Canis lupus familiaris: one gene and its partner. The protein of the gene in region 1 purifies or fractionates together with the protein of each later gene. This does not show direct contact. Links are inferred from orthologs where the notes say so. Each region holds a gene or a part of one and is shown in the gene's direction. Other genes may lie near its edges. The genes, in order: PAM16 and DNAJC19.

Region 1 (4,372 bases):
GGTAGTGAGTTGGGCATAGAGATTGCTTAATTCACACACACAAAAAAATTATGTGAAAGGGAGCTGCGGAGATGCAGGGAGAGCAGGGTGTGCAAAGTCAAGAGAGGCAAGACCTGAAGGCAACTGAGCCACAGAGCTGAGAGAACACTTCAGATAAAAGGAAGAGCAGCCACTGCACTGAGGGAAGAAAATTTGGAGAGTTGGAGGAGAGGGCGGTGGTCCAAAACAATCCAGGGCAGCCCAATTTATGTTCATTCAGTGATGGTGTGCTGAGTGCCTCCCACGTGCCGGCCACCCATCCAAGAGTGGAGAAAAGAGGAAAGTCCTGCCCACCAGGGATCCACCTTCTGGGGGAAAGAACAGATTATAAGCAGCGCACATAAAATAAATGAATTCTATAATATGGCAGAAGGCGATGAGTAAGAACTTTGGGGGTAAAAATAGAGGGGACTGAGAGCCAGACACAGAAGCCACAGACAGGATGATTCCACTTCCAAGAGCTGTTCACAGGGGACAAACCATAGACGGGCCCAAGCTTAGTGGTCAGGGCCTGGGGGGGCGGTGGCCAGTGCTGATGCGAAGGGAGTTTGGGGGGTGGTGATGAAAATGTTCTGGTGTTCTGGTGGTGATGGTTGCACAACTCTGTGGATACACTAAGAAGCGCTGACTGAATTATGCACTTTAGTGAACCGGATGGTGTGTGAACTTTATCCCAAAGGGTTACTAAAGCACAAAAGAATGCGGGGCAAGTTGCAGCATTGGTAGCAGGTTGGGGTAGGCCTCCTTGGGAAGGTGACATCGAGCAAGCACTTGAAGGGGGAGAGAGAGAGATCTCTTTCCCAGATAGAAGGAAACTAGAAGGAAGCCCGTTTTGAGGTTTCCTGTTTTCTTTTTTTTTAATTTTTATTTATTTATGATAGTCACACAGAGAGAGAGAGAGAGAGGCAGAGACACAGGCAGAGGGAGAAGCAGGCTCCATGCACCGGGAGCCCGACGTGGGATTCGATCCCGGGTCTCCAGGATCGCGCCCTGGGCCAAAGGCAGGTGCCAAACCGCTGCGCCACCCAGGGATCCCAGGTTTCCTGTTTTCTTACATATTTGTGAGCCTTTGGCATCCTCCTCTTCGTGGGGTGTTGTATGTTTACTTCATGTCCTTTAGTACCAAATATCTTGGCAAAATCCAGGGAAGAGGTTGCTTGCCCCTCATTTGACAGATGTGTCTATCCTGGGGCACGTCGCGCAGCAGGGCGAACGCGAGGGCCACCGCGGGTCCTAGGACCGCCCATCACCTGAGCGCGGCTCCGCCTACCGCCGTGACGTCACGGGTCCCGTCCCGCCCCCCGGAGGGAGCAACGCGCATGCCCAGCGCGGCGTCACGCACGCGCTCTCTCTCCCTTGACCTCTGACCTGCCGGCCGCCTTTGAGCTGGGGCCGCGGGGCCAGGAAGCCGGAGCCCGCAACCCTGAGGCGGAGCGGCCAGCATGGTGAGGCACGAGCGGGCGCTGCCGGGCGGTGAGGGAGGCCGGGCTGGGGCCGGGGCCGGGGCCGGGGCCGGGGAGCGTCGCACCGGGAGGACCGCGGCGGGGGCCGGCGGCCCGGGGCCACGGAGGCCTCTCGCCCAGAAGGCGGCGCGGGCCTGGCTGGCCGGAAAATGCCCAGCACAGGCGGCCGCCGCGTGCCCCCTGCCGCGCCGGAGGTCGGGTCCAGCCCGGGAGCCCTGCGCGGCCGCGCGGCCCGTTGGCGGTGTCGCCCTTTGGAAACGGACGAAACGGGCGCCGAGACTTTGCCAAGGAAGTGGCTGGCCTGGGACTCGAGCGGGCCCCGCGACCCCGAAAGCTGAGCGTCTCCGCGTTTCCTGTGGCACCCGCAGCCAGTCCGCAGACCCGGGCCACGCTGGCGGAGACGAGTCCCCTGGGGACCCTTTAAACACGCAGCATCCTGAGCTCTGTCCTCGGAGGCAGCCGGTTTGGGGAGCCCCTTATTAACCAATAAGAAGGATAACACAAGAGCTTGCAAGGCCCCCAGGCCCTTGCACTGGAAGCCTCACGTGGATTCTCTCATTTAATGCTTGTGAAATGCATAGGGCCATGGTCCCCATTTCACAGAGTAGGAGCCTGAATCTCAGAGTTGGATTCCTCCAGGGTCGTTTCATCCAGCCGTGCCAGAGGCAGGTGTTGAGCCGGGTCATGCCCAACCCTTGGACCGCGGCCTGCTCACGCATTCCTGCCTGTAACTCTGAGCCCCCCTCAAGAGCCACGTAAAATGTTGCTCTGGACCAGTCTGTATCCTAAAGGAGGAATCAGGCAAGTCTGTAAAATAGGACAGAACAGATAGTGCTCTGGGAAGGTTTGGCTTAGAGGGAATATGGGAGTATTGTGTTGTCTTTTTTTTTTTTTTTAAGATTTTATTTATTCATGAGCGACGCAAAGAGAGGCAGACACACAGGCAGCGGGAGAAGCAGGCTCCATGCAGGGAGCCCAATGTGGAACTCGATCTCAGGACCCTGGGGTCACGCCCTGGGCCAAAGGCAGCCACCCAGGCATCCCTCCTGTTAAGTCTTGAAGGATGTTGGGTTTTGATGGAGTATCAGAGTAGTAGGGACGATGTAGTCAAGGTTAATGGGTATTGGGGGTTTTTTTTGGGGGGGTGATGAAAATGTTCCAGGACTAGTAATATTCTGTACTTTTTAGTGTGTTTACAGAGGTATGTGAATACCCTAAAATCACTGAATACTTGAGTGACTTGTATGGTGTGTGTGTGTTGGGAGACATGGGGGTAAAAGAAGTAAGAGCTGATCTAGAAGTAGATGGTGTGGCTGCAGGGCCGAGAGGTGAGGGGAGAGAAAACCAGAGCCGTTGTAGCTGTCCAAGGTGAGATTGCCCAGCTGAGAAGTGGGCTGAATTTGCAGGCCCTGGCCGCGGAGTTGTGTGTATTGGAGGATGGCCTGAGTCCTCCAGCAGAGGGAGCGGTAGGCATTTGGAAACCCTGTCTGGGGACATAGTTTTGCTGATGATGGCCTGGTTAAGTGTCACATTCATTCAAATACGATCGATTGGGCTGCCATGCCAGCCATAGGCGGGGGCGCCAGGTTTACTGTGGTCCTGACTGCCCTCCCGCCTAGTCGTGATGCCAGCAGCTGTTTGCAGGGGCTTTGGGGTGAACATCCTCAAGAAGGGGGTGAGTCTCAGTGGCAGTGTCTGCCCAGCAGCCCAGGGGCTGAGAACTAAGCTTTGAAGGGAACATTGCACATCTGAGCTGTCTGAAAACCAGGTTCCCTTCGTAATGCACCTCACCTGAGATGCGCCACATTCCTCCGTGTCCCCCAACGCTTGCCTGTGGTCTTCTGTCCCAGCTGCAGAGGTGTGGTTCTGCATTGGGCTATGTCGTTCCTCAGATGAGAAAGCAGATGTGTCATCCACAGTGGCTCCCAGGCTCGGCGACCTGTGTCTCTGACCTCTGCTCCTCGACTGGCAGCTTGCCCTGAGTTGGATGCCATGTCAGCTGACTGTTCTTGTCCAGGGTCTTCAGGCCCAAGTGTCAGTCAGTGGACTATGGGATGTTTGGGGACTTTCTAGGAGAGACCTCAGCCAGTGGCTGCCATCATCTCCTCTTGTAACTGGCAGAACAATGATCTGGCTGACCCACAGCTGGCACTGGGTACTGAATAGATGGATGAGAAGCTTGGCCATACTGCCTGATGTCTGGACCGTCCAGCACCAAGCAGGGTCTAGTCCAGAAGCAAAGGCAGCTGTTGGGCTGCTTTGAACCTGCCACTGACTGGTTGGGTTTATGTGGATTGCCTTCTGAGGACCTTGCAGCCTTCCTGTAAGGAAGGTATGATTCTCTCCGTTTTGCAGATAAGAAAACAGGTTCAGAGAGGTTGAGTAATTTATGCAGGGCCACACAGCTAGCGAAGACAAGCTGGGAGTCCAGGTTTAAGCTCCAAAGCAGTCCTCTCCCTCCTCTTCCACACTGCTTCTCAGTGCTCTTGGCACGGAGCCTGGCTTTTTGCAGCCTTCTCCCCTGAGGAATCAGTGGCTATATCAAATGAGTTGCCTTATTGGGAAAGGCTTTGCTACTCCATAGTATCTGACCATTGTCCGGTTTTGTGAAATCAGTGTAATAAATGTAAAGCGACATTTATTGAGTAGCTACTGTATCATCAGACTCTGTGTCAGGCACTTTACATTGTCTCATCACATCCATCTGACAGTGCTGTTTTTGACCACATTTCACAGGTGAGGAAACAGGCCGAGGGAACATAAGAGCTTGTGCAGGGCATGCAGCTGGGATTTGCACACAGGTGATCCCAGAGCTTGCCTGTATGACCACACACCACACTTCATCCCCTGGAGAAGCCTCCCACAGGAAC
Region 2 (4,576 bases), on another chromosome or scaffold:
ATTACCAGGCTTACATCCATGAGTGAGATATCATGAGAATCGGGAAGGCCTCTGCACACCAATTTGTACTTCAACATGCCTCATTATGATAATGGCCAACACATTAAGTGATAATTACATGCAGAGCATATTATGTACATAATTCTTTACCCTCACAAAAATTTGGTGAGGTAGTCATCATTACCCTTGTTTTACAAATGAGAAGACTCAGAAACAACTTATCCAAAGTCATACAACTAGTGACAGAACTGGGTTGTACATCTATTTTGATTTGCCTCCAAAAACAAGAGCCCTGTCCACTTCAAGTGTCTCTGTGTTACTTATCCTTGGCTTCCTGAGGCTGGGCTACCTCATGTTAACCTGCTCCTCAAGCAAGCTGTATGGTGTAGTTTGTATATACCAAAAAATATACAGAATAAAAGAATCTTTATGTGACACGTAATTCTTTACAGAATACATTTATTGGTTGACAATAGATTACATCACAAAAATCGCAGGGCTAGAAGAATTCTTAAAGATCCAAATGCAGAACCTTTTTAAAGATGGGGAAAACAAGACCAACAAATTTGCATACATCTCTAACATGCAACCAATTCATCGAAGCAGAATTTCATTGCTACGTAAACTGATTTCTAATACTTCAGTAAGTTCTAACTGGAAAGTAACTCCAAATTTACTTGATCATCCAAACACTGTAAAACTTCCTTTCTTTCCTCTTCTCAAGCATTGATTATTACTTAGGGGATCTATGAGACTGATGCTAGTTTTCGAGGAAAGGGAGAGAAATTTGAAATAGCCCTTTTCGGTTGTGCGGATTTGGGGACCCCGTGTTCAGAATATTAACTGTCTCTGAAGTGAACATTTCCGTTCTACAAAACAAAACCCCAGATATTTATTTACACGAGGTCAAGTCACAAATTAAAAATCCTTTTTAAATAAGAAAACGCTACTGAGCAGCCCTGAAACACAATGTGGTTTGTTGTTTTGGTTTTGGGGCGGGGGGACATATTCTCGTTTGCTATCCCGGCTTGCCACATATTTATTTGGCTTCGAGGTGGAACTGTCACGGCATATTTGAGGATGTTCATTACCCTTGACAATTAAAAACAAAATGAAAGGCGAATGCACGTGCTGCAAAGGGGGGTGGGGGAGCGTTCTGAGTGAGGCTACTCGGTAGTCGTCGTCGCCCTTCGGCATCAATACCTTCCCCGACAGGAGTTTCCAAATACCTTCCGCCTGGTAGCCAAGGGCAAAACGGAGAAGCCCCAGCTCCGAGCCCGAGGAAGGAGGCGGCCCGCCCGCCGCCAGCCAATCTCCAGGTGCCTTCTGCACCTGCCCACTGCTCCAGCGACCTTTCCCCTCTGGCCCTCCGCGGGCCCCGTTTACGACAGTTTTCCGGCCCGTTGGCCGCCCGGCTGCCGTGTTTCCTGACGCGCCGCTGGCGGGGCGGTTTGCGTCCGCCGCCGGCGGGGGCCGCTTGGCCGTCGGGTAGAAGCGTGCGAGCTGGCTGCGGCCTTTGGGCTGGGATGAGCCGCGCTCTCGGTGGAGGCCGCGGAGCCGAGCCGGAGCCATGGTGAGTGCGGCCTGCCGGTCTCCCGAGCCGTCTCGGGCCCAGGCCTCGCGACCTCGGAGGAAAAGAGCCGAGGTTTTCTTCCCCCTTGCGACTCTAGGCTGGAGACGTAGGGCCCCGGACAGCCACACCTTCTGGGACACAACCCCTCTAGGGCCTTTATGGTCTTCCATGGCCCTTCCGCCAGGGGCTCCGGTCTCTGGCCCATCGGCCCCGAGGCTCCGAGATTAGTGGAAACGCGTTTGATTGTCGCTGCTCTTCGCCCGGTGCAGCCTCGCGACCTTCCTTAGTGTGTCCTTCCCCTGGACTCCGGCCGACGCGTCTCTTCTCGGGCCCAGAACACATGGGGGATTCTGCGCGGGGACCGGGAGACGCCACAGGGTGGAAGGCGCTTCGGCCCACGTTTTGACGTGGAAGCGTGTTGTCCGAATTCTGCGGGGACCTCACATCGTGCTTTCTCCAGCAGAAATGTTACTTCCTTCGTTCTTGATTGAACATCAGTGTGGTTTCGTTTGCCCAGAGATGAGAGGTGTTCAGTTCCACTGTCGTAAAAGTAAATAAGCAAATCCACTCGCCCTTCCCTTTCACAGTTGAAAATCCCACAGCTTTACAATGAATTAGAGTCAAAAAGCTGCAGTCCTCCTGAGAGATCATGGGCAGGCGATTTTCTTCCTCAAAGTTGTTTTCCCCTTTGAAGTAAAACTTGTAATGAGTTTAGGATGGGACGATAGGTACGCATAGGGAAAGGTGAGAATTCCAGAAGTAAATGATTCACTCTGCTTCCCCTTACCAGGCCAGTACCGTGGTAGCTGTTGGACTGACCATTGCTGCTGCGGGATTTGCAGGTTTGTTTATGGTTTGGGAGTCGAAGTGAAGTGTAGGGGAGGTTGGAGATTTTTTTAATTATTCTGTTGCTTTTGTTTGTAGGCCGTTATGTTTTGCAAGCCATGAAACATGTGGAACCTCAAGTAAAACAAGTTTTTCAGAGTCTACCAAAATCTGTAAGACATGCTAAACATTTTTGCTAATTCTTTGCTGCCTATGTAGGAAGCTTAGAGTCACACTTGGAGAGGGTAAATTTCCAAACATCCATGAGGTTCTTAGTGCTTTGGGCCCCTTCTCTTGTCTCCCACAAACAGGGTTTAGAAGTTCTGAGGCTTGTGACAGAATTGTGGCTAAGGTATTGAAATTCTAGTATCGTGAAAGTTAATAATCACTATTGTTTAGAGAACTTCAGTACCATTTGTCCAGATTCTTGCCTTCCCTCATTTGCTCTGCATGACCAACACAGGGATCTAAGGATCTGCAGTGTCTAGGGATCCTGTGTTGTGTGGCCCTGGCACTCCCCAAGATACTTGGGTAGCACCAGAGTGAAGTAGGCTAAAGAGTATGACTGGATGTGATGTTTGGCTGTGACAGCTTGTTAGTATTTTTATTGCTGTAATTGAATGTGACAATATGGTGATTGATGGTAGGCTTTACTCATATGATCTGGTAGCCTGGTTTTCTCAATAGATATCTTTTTTTTTTTTTTTTAAGATTTTACTTATTCATGAGAGACACAGAGAGAGGCAGAGACACAGGCAAAGGGAGAAGCAGGATCCTCTCAGGGAGCCCCATGTGGGACTCCATCCCAGGACCCTTGAATCATACCCTGGGCCGAAGGCAGAGGCTCAACCCCTGAGCCACCCTGGCGTCCCTCCATACATACCTTAAAAGTCTTGTTTTAGTAGTTACCTTGACTCTCAGAATACCCTTGAACCACTCATCATAAAAGATCTCCAAATCCTTTTCTTGAAGCCCTTGTTTTTCTTTTTTTTTTTTTTTAATTTTTATTTATTTATGATAGTCACCGAGAGAGAAAGAGAGAGAGGCAGAGACATAGGCAGAGGGAGAAGCAGGCTCCATGCACCGGAAGCCCGACGTGGGACTCGATCCTGGGTCTCCAGGATCGCGCCCTGGGCCAATGGCAGGCGCCAAACCGCTGCGCCACCCAGGGATCCCAGCCCTTGTTTTTCTAACACATAATCATATTCTTAAGGTCAAATTTTCACCTGTAACACAGCTAACTTGGAATAAGCTTCCCTTTATTCCCAGAAGAACTGGCTATGAGGCACCTCTTCTGTCTTACATTTTTTAGAATTTTTCTGGAGGAAAAAATTGATGTTTAATATCATTAAAATACTGGTTGCTTCCTATAAAGCTAAAATGCTGTAGTAGTTTTAAAGTTCTCTGAATTGTCTTAATTTTTCTGCTGTGAACATTTTCAACATTTTTTAGCAACTTTCAGTTTATTATCTATTTTTATGAATGCATTTCCTCTCTCAGGCCTTCAGTGGTGGCTATTATAGAGGTGGATTTGAACCCAAAATGACAAAAAGAGAAGCAGCACTAATACTAGGCGTAAGGTAAATAATTTCTAATATTTGTAATATTTTTCTACAACTCTGAGAATATGAGCAAATATCCTTTTACTAAGAGTTATAATAGGGTTACATACATTGTAATATCTAAACACTCCCTGTAAAAGTCCAGTGAGAAGGCACACTAGCACATAAGGACTTTTTAATTCACTGAAAGATTATTGTTCTTTATAACATTTTTTTTAAGATTTTATTTATTCATGACTGACACAGAGAGGCAGGGACACCGGCAGAGGGCTCAATCCCAGGTCCCCAGGATCACACCCTGGGCTGAAGGCAGTGCCAAACCACTGGGCCACCAGGGCTGCCCTATAACATTTTTTGTAGTGAAATTCTGCCTTCATTTTCAGATACAACATGCTTTCCCTTTCAATAAAAGGACTTATATAATGATTAGAAAGTTCAAATAATTTTAAGATTTTATTTGAGAGAGAGCACGAGTTGGGGGAGAAGCAGAGGGAGAGAGACAAGCAGACACTGTGCTGAGTTCAGAGCCCAATGCAGGGCTGGATCCCAGCCTAACCCCAAGATCATGACTTGAACCAAATCAAAGGCAGACATTTAACCAACTAAGCCATCCAGG

Evidence for each region.
Region 2: the proteins of PAM16 (region 1) and DNAJC19 purify together in Homo sapiens (affinity purification with mass spectrometry; 3 studies listed by BioGRID and IntAct, with this or other methods). This does not show direct contact. The link is inferred for Canis lupus familiaris from reciprocal best matches to the Homo sapiens genes PAM16 and DNAJC19.

Annotation. Positions count from the first base shown.
Region 1 is NC_049227.1:37,332,179-37,336,550, forward strand, and holds the start of PAM16 (mitochondrial import inner membrane translocase subunit TIM16), read left to right. Parts: upstream 1-1,327; 5' UTR 1,328-1,481; coding exon 1,482-1,484; intron 1,485-1,876; exon of another isoform or gene 1,877-2,303; intron 2,304-4,372. UniProt on the Homo sapiens protein: Regulates ATP-dependent protein translocation into the mitochondrial matrix. Inhibits DNAJC19 stimulation of HSPA9/Mortalin ATPase activity.
Region 2 is NC_049255.1:14,375,135-14,379,710, reverse strand, and holds the start of DNAJC19 (mitochondrial import inner membrane translocase subunit TIM14), read left to right. Parts: upstream 1-1,570; coding exon 1,571-1,573; coding exon of another isoform or gene 1,574-1,743; exon of another isoform or gene 1,744-2,363; coding exon 2,364-2,415; exon of another isoform or gene 2,416-2,497; coding exon 2,498-2,571; exon of another isoform or gene 2,572-3,160; intron 3,161-3,898; coding exon 3,899-3,978; intron 3,979-4,576. Other genes in the region: uncharacterized protein LOC119867493, read right to left, coding at 1,204-1,743. UniProt on the Homo sapiens protein: Mitochondrial co-chaperone which forms a complex with prohibitins to regulate cardiolipin remodeling.